Linked DNA regions of Saccharomyces cerevisiae S288C. The protein of the gene in region 1 interacts with the protein of each later gene in a biochemical or structural test. Each region holds a gene or a part of one and is shown on either strand. Other genes may lie near its edges.

Region 1 (5,485 bases):
GTTTCTCCTTCAACTTCAAGCGAATTATGCCAAATGGGTTTAAAGTTTCTTTCTGCCTTTATACGTCACACAGATTCAACATTAAAGGATACTGCTTTGAGTTATGTTCTAGGGAGGGTCTTACCAGATTTAAATGAACCAAGCAGACAAGGCCTTGCTTTTAATTTCCTAAAAGCACTTGTTTCAAAACATATCATGCTTCCAGAACTCTATGACATTGCGGATACTACTAGGGAAATCATGGTCACAAACCACTCAAAAGAAATTAGGGATGTATCCAGGAGCGTTTACTACCAATTTTTAATGGAATATGACCAAAGTAAGGGTCGTTTAGAAAAGCAGTTCAAATTTATGGTCGACAATTTACAGTATCCTACCGAGTCCGGCCGTCAGTCCGTAATGGAATTGATCAATTTGATTATTACAAAGGCTAATCCTGCTTTACTATCCAAATTATCATCTTCCTTCTTTCTGGCGCTAGTTAATGTTTCTTTTAATGATGATGCGCCAAGATGCCGTGAGATGGCTTCAGTATTGATTTCCACCATGCTTCCAAAGCTTGAAAATAAGGACCTTGAAATTGTTGAAAAATATATAGCCGCTTGGCTAAAACAGGTTGATAATGCATCCTTTTTAAATCTTGGGTTGAGAACTTATAAGGTCTACTTGAAAAGTATTGGGTTTGAACATACTATTGAGCTAGACGAGCTTGCCATCAAGCGTATAAGGTACATTTTGAGCGATACGTCGGTAGGATCAGAACATCAGTGGGATTTGGTATACTCAGCTTTAAATACGTTCTCATCTTATATGGAAGCAACAGAGAGCGTTTATAAACATGGTTTCAAAGACATATGGGATGGTATTATCACATGTCTCTTGTATCCGCACTCATGGGTCCGTCAATCGGCGGCAAATCTTGTTCATCAACTCATAGCCAATAAGGATAAGCTGGAGATATCATTAACCAATCTGGAAATTCAAACCATTGCAACAAGAATTCTTCACCAATTAGGTGCGCCTTCTATTCCGGAGAATCTTGCGAACGTCTCAATAAAAACATTAGTTAATATCAGTATCCTATGGAAGGAGCAACGCACGCCGTTCATAATGGATGTATCAAAACAAACTGGAGAGGATCTAAAATATACTACCGCCATTGATTATATGGTAACTCGAATTGGTGGTATTATCAGGTCGGATGAACATCGTATGGATTCTTTTATGTCGAAGAAGGCGTGTATTCAGTTATTGGCCTTATTAGTTCAAGTTCTGGACGAAGACGAAGTAATTGCAGAAGGGGAAAAGATATTATTGCCGCTATATGGTTATTTAGAAACATATTACTCAAGAGCAGTTGATGAAGAACAGGAAGAACTACGCACTCTTTCAAACGAATGTTTAAAAATACTGGAAGACAAATTGCAAGTATCCGATTTTACAAAAATATACACTGCTGTCAAACAGACCGTATTAGAAAGAAGAAAGGAAAGGAGATCTAAAAGGGCAATTCTGGCTGTTAACGCTCCACAAATTTCTGCTGATAAAAAGTTGAGAAAGCATGCGAGATCGAGGGAAAAGAGAAAGCATGAAAAGGATGAAAATGGGTATTATCAAAGACGTAACAAAAGAAAGAGAGCCTAGCTGTAATATATCTTTATAACATGTATACTAATGAATAAAAAATCCAAGTTATAACGTCAAAGCTGTAGTACGTTAGCATTTCCGTAAGTAAAACCGTAAACTTGATACGTTTTTTATTTTCTTTATTAATAGTAATACTATACACTGTCTTTAATAAAACGACGCTATTTATAAAACTGTTAGATAAAAGACATACCAGTCTTCCTCATATGACCTACTTTAAAACCCCAAATGACAAGAATGTTTGATTTGCTTTGTTTCTTTTCAACTCAGTTCTTACAGTTCTTGAGAAGCTTTGGCAGTCTTGGCAGACTTCTTTGGCAACAAGTTTTGGTGAATGTTTGGCAAAACACCACCTTGGGCGATGGTAACATTACCCAATAGCTTGTTCAATTCATCATCATTTCTGATGGCCAATTGTAAATGTCTTGGAATAATTCTGGTTTTTTTGTTATCTCTAGCAGCATTACCAGCCAATTCTAAAATTTCAGCAGCCAAATATTCTAAGACAGCAGTTAGATAGACTGGAGCACCAGAACCAATTCTCTGGGCGTAGTTACCTCTTCTTAGCAATCTGTGCACTCTACCAACTGGGAATGTTAAACCAGCTTTAGCAGATCTAGATTGAGAAGCTTTAGCAGCTGAACCAGCTTTACCACCTTTACCACCGGACATTATATATTAAATTTGCTCTTGTTCTGTACTTTCCTAATTCTTATGTAAAAAGACAAGAATTTATGATACTATTTAATAACAAAAAACTACCTAAGAAAAGCATCATGCAGTCGAAATTGAAATCGAAAAGTAAAACTTTAACGGAACATGTTTGAAATTCTAAGAAAGCATACATCTTCATCCCTTATATATAGAGTTATGTTTGATATTAGTAGTCATGTTGTAATCTCTGGCCTAAGTATACGTAACGAAAATGGTAGCACGTCGCGTTTATGGCCCCCAGGTTAATGTGTTCTCTGAAATTCGCATCACTTTGAGAAATAATGGGAACACCTTACGCGTGAGCTGTGCCCACCGCTTCGCCTAATAAAGCGGTGTTCTCAAAATTTCTCCCCGTTTTCAGGATCACGAGCGCCATCTAGTTCTGGTAAAATCGCGCTTACAAGAACAAAGAAAAGAAACATCGCGTAATGCAACAGTGAGACACTTGCCGTCATATATAAGGTTTTGGATCAGTAACCGTTATTTGAGCATAACACAGGTTTTTAAATATATTATTATATATCATGGTATATGTGTAAAATTTTTTTGCTGACTGGTTTTGTTTATTTATTTAGCTTTTTAAAAATTTTACTTTCTTCTTGTTAATTTTTTCTGATTGCTCTATACTCAAACCAACAACAACTTACTCTACAACTAATGTCCTCTGCCGCCGAAAAGAAACCAGCTTCCAAAGCTCCAGCTGAAAAGAAGCCAGCTGCCAAGAAAACATCAACCTCCGTCGATGGTAAGAAGAGATCTAAGGTTAGAAAGGAGACCTATTCCTCTTATATTTACAAAGTTTTGAAGCAAACTCACCCAGACACTGGTATTTCCCAGAAGTCTATGTCTATTTTGAACTCTTTCGTTAACGATATCTTTGAAAGAATTGCTACTGAAGCTTCTAAATTGGCCGCTTATAACAAGAAATCCACTATTTCTGCTAGAGAAATCCAAACAGCCGTTAGATTGATCTTACCTGGTGAATTGGCTAAACATGCCGTCTCCGAAGGTACTAGGGCTGTTACCAAATACTCCTCCTCTACTCAAGCCTAAGTCACTCACTAGGTATTGTGATTTAGTCATGTTTTCTTTTTATTAGTGGCATTTTTTATATATTGTAACATTAGGGTTCTGTTACTTGTCCAGATATGATTGGAAGGGTCTAGTCTATCAGCCTCCGAAGGGAGTTGTATAAATGTATATATATAACTTTATAAACAAAAAAAATTGGGAAAGATATTTTGCAAACAGTTATTATTAAATTGTTTCTTAAACTCTCCTTAAAGATATACCCTATTTAGGTTCACTACACGAGCATTCATTGAGAAATTTTTTTTAAAACAACATCGATCTTATCTTGAGCAGTTTGGTGCTTATCAGTTCTAGTCCCAACACGAATATCAGTGTGTACTCTAACATATCCTTTCTCATGACCGTATTCATGGATTTCGCCAATCAAACCCATCACATCATCCCAAGGCCCTTCAATTGTTGTTCCTGCACTGTGTAAAGTGCTCTTTAATGGGCTTTCTCTGATTTTTTTTTCAATGAGTGCAACAAAATCAGAAATACTAGCAGAGTCGGTGCCAATAGGGACCATACACACGTCCGCTAAACAAAAGATCTTGGGCATTTTCTAAACTTGTAGTTTATGTGCTTTATAGTTAATGATCACGACGGCAATGACAAAAACTGAATATCTTGATCTCTCCTTTTGACGATGTCAGTGAATCCCGGTTAATGATATTCTGTTTTTCACGGGGTGGAAAAGAGGGGAGCTTGAATCATACTAAAAAAGGAATGTCAAAGAGCTATATAATTCGAATAAAAAGTAAAAGAAACGAAAGGTTTTATTAAAGGGTTTGGAGCTGTTTTCGGACTGAAAGCCAGTAACAAGCTTGTGTAGGAGTTTGTCTGAAAACCATCTTCATTTCAAATAAGAGAGCGAGTAATTTTTAAATAATTTCTTTTCTGAACTACTTAAATCGCTATGTACCTTGCGAAAATTATTCTTTAATAGTTTAACTAAAAGTAAAAAGTTAGAAATCATAAATAAAAAATCAAAGAGACAAATCTCGTTGCAAAAGCTTGAAAAATAGTGCTTTACCAACAGGTTGGCAAACCAGAATGCTAACAAAACTTAAAATCCCATTTCCCAAGAGGATCAATCAATCATATTTACCTTGATAGTATAGGATACAAGTGTCTGTGCAGGCCTCCGATAACATGTAAAGTAATAAAAGTAGGAGTACTTGCTTTCAGCAGAAAATGAAAAAAAGAACGTTCAAACAGACTGAAAATATAGCTATTCAACTGGCACCTACTAATATCAATAATAATAAATTAATCTTGAGCAAATTGATCCTACATAAATCATGTGACTTATTTATTTAATTATTATTAAGTAAAAAAGATTTTCTATTTAAATTTATTAATTAATTTTTTTTCTTAAATAATTATTTTATGTTTTTGTTTTCCGAAAAAGAAAAATATTTCAACAAGAAGTATCAATATATTTCTTGCAAAAAATTGTTCACCGAGAATTGACAAAAAAACCTTACGTCGGTGACGACGATATACAGATCCTATATTCTTCATGTATGTAATAGATTCCCATACCTTCTTCGCATTTAAGACACTAATAGAAATGAAAGCTTTCTATTAGTCATTCTTCCTATGCACTAGACCACGCAAAGGTGAACCGGCTTGGTACGAGAATTCTATCACACGGTAATGATAGTGTTCCCGATGTCAAGCAGTCTTATACAGTACTACCCAAGAGCTTAAGAATAAGCAAGAAGATCTGGCAAGCTACAAGGTACTCATAACGATCTTCAAAGCGTAAGTTATGATCTTATGAAAATCAGACTTTTTTGTCTCAACAAACTCCTAGTTTGAAGATGTTACTGAAATGCCCTTCAAACACTTTTACTTGAAAATCATCGATTACTATTCTAACCTTCACAAATGAGCCTTTACACAACTTGATTAATAATAATATTTGACCTTACTCTAAATCGTCTCAAATATTACTGAGGCACAATCTCATGGTTATTGATAGAAAGAAGAATATAACATATATCTTATTTACATATGTTCGTCAATATTATAGGTAATACAATTT
Region 2 (4,329 bases), on another chromosome or scaffold:
TATCCCCGTGAGCGAAACACCAGTGTTTTCATTGAAGGTGGTAGGGGCGGCGGTAGCAGTATTCACAACGGTTTTTCGCGAGCCCTTGGATTTTATTCTGCGCCTTTGGACGCCTTTAGTATGTGTCCTCAAATGTCTTTTTAGTTCATCGCTTCGGCTGAAGCTTTTCGGACAGCCCTGAACGGTACATTTGTGAGGCTTCTCGCCAGTGTGCGTTCTTCCGTGCCTTTTTTTATGTTCAAGTCTGTGGAAACCTCGTGAACAAATTTCACATCTAAAGGGTCTTTGGTCATTATCCGGAGGAAATCTATCTCGCAGGTAATTCATATATGGAATTTAAGAAAAGGATCGCCGATGTGCACCTACTAAGAGCAAAAGGAAATACTATGAAGCACACCGACTCATGGCAAGAAAGGGTCTCTGTTTTTAAACTTTATCTACTAGGATTAAGGAAAAAAAGAAGAAAAATAATGAAGCAACAAAAAAAAACTGGAACTGCTTTGCCTTCCAAGTATTACTGATTGAAGAACAGTATGAGGGAGCTAAATCATTTATACACGGAAAAATTAGTGAAGGATTTTTTGGTGGGGTCTCCAAGGAAGTAATTTCTACGGTGTGGTCTATGTATGTTTTTCCGGACGCGTTCCGCCGTTTTGGTTTCTGCCCCAGAACACCCCCCATAAAAGAGGTTTTTCCGAAGAGTGCCTTTCAGTTTTTCCGAGATCTTTATCTTTTTCATCCGTATTATGTAAACCTGAATAGCCCCTTGAGCAATTGAGTTGCATAATAGCATGCAATTGCATATTGAACCTCCTAGGACTTAAAGGTTATTCGTCAACTAAGGAAAAATATGCTCATAACTTACATATCTCGTACACCCTAAAATCCCACACAGGGATTAAAATTAAAATTATGTTTAGGTAATGAAAAAATAGTAAAAAAATGCTTCCTTAAGTTAATTATGAATTTCCCTATTAACACACATGCGTACACAAAAAAAGTATACGGAAACTATATTAGACTACACTACATCAACCTTATTTTCTTTTAAAACCTGGTGGGGGCTGAAACTTCCTTGTTTGAGGGGGCGCTTCATTATTAAACCTCGACCTATTTGCGCCGATATTATCGTTGCCACCATTGTATCTGCTCGACGATGGTTGGGCAATCTCCCTAGAATTGCTACTAGTATGCTTCGCATTGGCCGTGTTAGGTTTAGCGATCTTTCCCGGCTTTTTCTCTTTCTCTTTTCTTAGTTTCGTCTGCTTTTGCGCTTGTTTCTTTTCCTTTTTATCTCTCACTAGTCTTTCCTTCTTGGATAGTAGCGGCTTATCCTCCACCACTGTGGATAAGATCTGTTCTCCTCTTAGTATAGTCAGTCCCAACACTCTTTTTTCTACCTTGATGTTCAAAGTGGTTCCATCTTTTGAATCTTTTCTCGGTCTTAATTTATCTAGTTGAGTTTTGGGTACCCTCTCTTCTATACACTCATTCAACACTAAATTCATATGTTTATCAAATGCCATCAATTGCCCGATGTAAACGCGGCCATCTTGAGTGAGAACCCTCAGCTTATAATCAATAAGGTTGGCTAGTCGGCTGCTATGTGCCACCTGTATTTTGCTCATTAGTTATTTACTTTACTGGAAACCTGTTATACGGATGGTTCTGTTACCCCTTCTACTTTTTTCCCTGTCTTGTTCATTTCTAACTAGCATAGGCTTCTTTAAATTTCATTTTTTATTTTCATAATTTTTATTTTGAATTTTTTCCCACATTATCGTGAGAAAAACAAGAACATGGAGAAATAAGGAAGCTCGGTGGGTGGTTAATTGGGGAACACACCTGGTAAGTAAAATTCAATACATGGAAGGAAAGAGAGAAATAATGTCTGACGAAGCAAAGGAAAAGCGTGAATTAGAAAGCCAAAAGGAATCAAGTCATAATAAATCCGAAAAGTCTGTGGAACCTAAGCCAAAGAGAAGAAGAAGAAGAAACTATGACGATTATGACGCTGAAGTAGCAAAAGAGGAGACTAAGGCTAAAAATGGTTTGACGAAGAGCGAAAATAATGGTACTGTTGAAGATTCTGAATCTGATATGGACGATGCCAAGTTAGACGCATTGATGGGAAATGAGGGAGAAGAAGAAGAGGACGATTTGGCAGAAATTGATACCTCTAATATCATCACATCCGGAAGAAGAACACGCGGCAAAGTAATTGACTATAAAAAGACTGCAGAAGAATTAGACAAGAAGGAACCTAGCACAGGCTCTAAAGATGATGTAGGATATGGTGAAAAAGAAGAAGACGATGAAGACGAAGAAGACGATGATTTTAAAGAGTAGTAAGCAAAATGTCGTACATACCGGCCTCTACTTGTGTATTCTGTTTACTTCAATTTCCTATATGCGTTCTATATGTATATAAACTATATGTCAGCAGAAAATTGTAAAAATATAGCACAGAATTAAAGGGGAGAAGAGTCATTCACATGCAAGTGCGCAACTGCTGCAAAATATCTCTTAACAACAGTTATTTCCATTTGCCTTTTTGTTTTCGTTTGGTGTTGGTGTCAGACTAATCGTTGGTCCATTAGGAGCGGACGCACCATTGGCATTCCCGTTGGCACTGGAGTCACCAAGGTCCATTTGATGCTTGCTGACCTTTTGATAGATGGTATTGATTAACTCTTCAAAAGCCTTATCCACGTTTTCACTGTTCAAAGCACTTGTTTCTGTGAATAATAACTGATTTTCCTGTGCAAAAGTCTTGGACTCCTCCGTAGGTACAGCACGTAAATGGGCCAAATCAGACTTGTTACCGATAAGCCCCACTGCGACGTTGTCATCTGCATTTTCTCTTAATTCTGATAACCAATGATTACAATTTTCATATGAGCTTGATTTACTGATATCGTAAACGATCAAGGCACCTACAGCTCCTCTATAATAAGCAGAAGTAATGGCTCTGTAACGTTCCTGGCCCGCAGTATCCCAAATCTGCGCCTTGATCCTCTTGCCATCAATTTCCAAAGTTCTGGTGGCAAACTCAACCCCAATTGTAGACTTTGAATCCATATTGAATTCGTTCTTCGTAAATCTTGACAATAGATTGGATTTCCCTACCCCGGAATCACCGATCAGTACAATTTTAAATAGTAGGTCGTAATCATACCCGTAGTCCTCGCTGCTCATTGTTGAAATCCCCAGACGCCGTCAGAATCCCTTTGCTGGCCTAAACAAAGTGCCTTGTAATAAAGGTCAAATTGTTATTCGTTTCTTTCTTGAAAAGTTTTGAGTTTCCCTCTTTCTCTAATTTAGCACCCGCACACCGCAGCGGCCTGTGATATTCCGCATTGGAAAATGGTAAACAAACAACAAACGAGCCCAAACATAACAACAGTAGAATTGACGCCTAGGAACAACAATACAACATACTTACAGCAAGACTACTACCTAATTAGTGCAATTAGATTGCGCTGGGATAGATCTGAAGCTTTTTTTCCGATTATGAGCCTCCCTGTTACACCTGTCAAGAGCAAAGTGTGCAGTACATTATCGATACAACATGAGATGGACCATGATCAATGCCGTGATGTGTTGTGCCCACGCGAAAACTTACTAGCCATTAATAGAACTAATAATATAGAGAGTGTTGCTATACCGCGACAGAGATCGAGCAAGAACAAGAAACCCCATGAGCATACACAATCGCAGGTTCGATTTTCCATTCCAGATCCAAATGAAATATCACAGGACTCCCCACTGAAAATTGTATTCCCCAAGAGTGGAAATGAAACCGAAAGAAGAATGTCTACTTCATCATTACTTATGAATAGCCATGGTCATTTAGTCGACATGCACTCTAAAATACTGGTCGATGTCCCTAAAGAAGTTTGGAAGTTTCATCATAACAGGAGAAAAAAATGTGAAAGCAGGCACCGTAAAACTCGTTCTGATGTTAGGTCCAACACAAGTAGTAGTGGAAAAGAACCAAACCATTCTAGATCAAAATCATTACAGTCGATCATTGTGGATACAATGAACACATATCGTGCAACCGAGGTTGAGACCAGTATTAATGAGAATACTAGTAATATTAGCCAAGTATCTCCGCTGAATTTATCATTTGACAGGCCTCCTCCCTTAACTCCCGAAAAGAATTTATATCTCACTCCTGAATCGCCATTGAACAGATATCATTTACCAGTTCCATTAGAAATATCTCTGCCGCCCTACTTATCTCCGCAAAACAAGGATAAAAAGAGGAGTAGCTTGGTTTACGATGGGGATGGCTATAGCCAGTTTCAAGAAGGTAACACCTCA

The links. Proteins that work in one complex are often made in the same cells at the same time.
Region 2: the proteins of HTB2 (region 1) and CHZ1 are reported together in a solved structure, tested with the Saccharomyces cerevisiae proteins (one study listed by BioGRID).

What each region holds. Positions count from the first base shown.
Region 1 is NC_001134.8:233,474-238,958, forward strand, and holds HTB2 (histone H2B), read left to right. Parts: upstream 1-3,018; coding exon 3,019-3,414; downstream 3,415-5,485. Other genes in the region: UTP20 (Utp20p), read left to right, coding at 1-1,644; HTA2 (histone H2A), read right to left, coding at 1,921-2,319; ECM15 (Ecm15p), read right to left, coding at 3,680-3,994; alpha,alpha-trehalase NTH2, read right to left, coding at 5,468-5,485. UniProt on the Saccharomyces cerevisiae protein: Core component of nucleosome. Nucleosomes wrap and compact DNA into chromatin, limiting DNA accessibility to the cellular machineries which require DNA as a template.
Region 2 is NC_001137.3:211,550-215,878, forward strand, and holds CHZ1 (Chz1p), read left to right. Parts: upstream 1-1,887; coding exon 1,888-2,349; downstream 2,350-4,329. Other genes in the region: MIG3 (Mig3p), read right to left, coding at 1-327; mRNA splicing protein SMB1, read right to left, coding at 1,038-1,628; Rab family GTPase YPT31, read right to left, coding at 2,527-3,198; FIR1 (Fir1p), read left to right, coding at 3,514-4,329. UniProt on the Saccharomyces cerevisiae protein: Forms a chaperone-bound H2A.Z-H2B complex that acts as a source for SWR1 complex-dependent H2A to H2A.Z histone replacement in chromatin.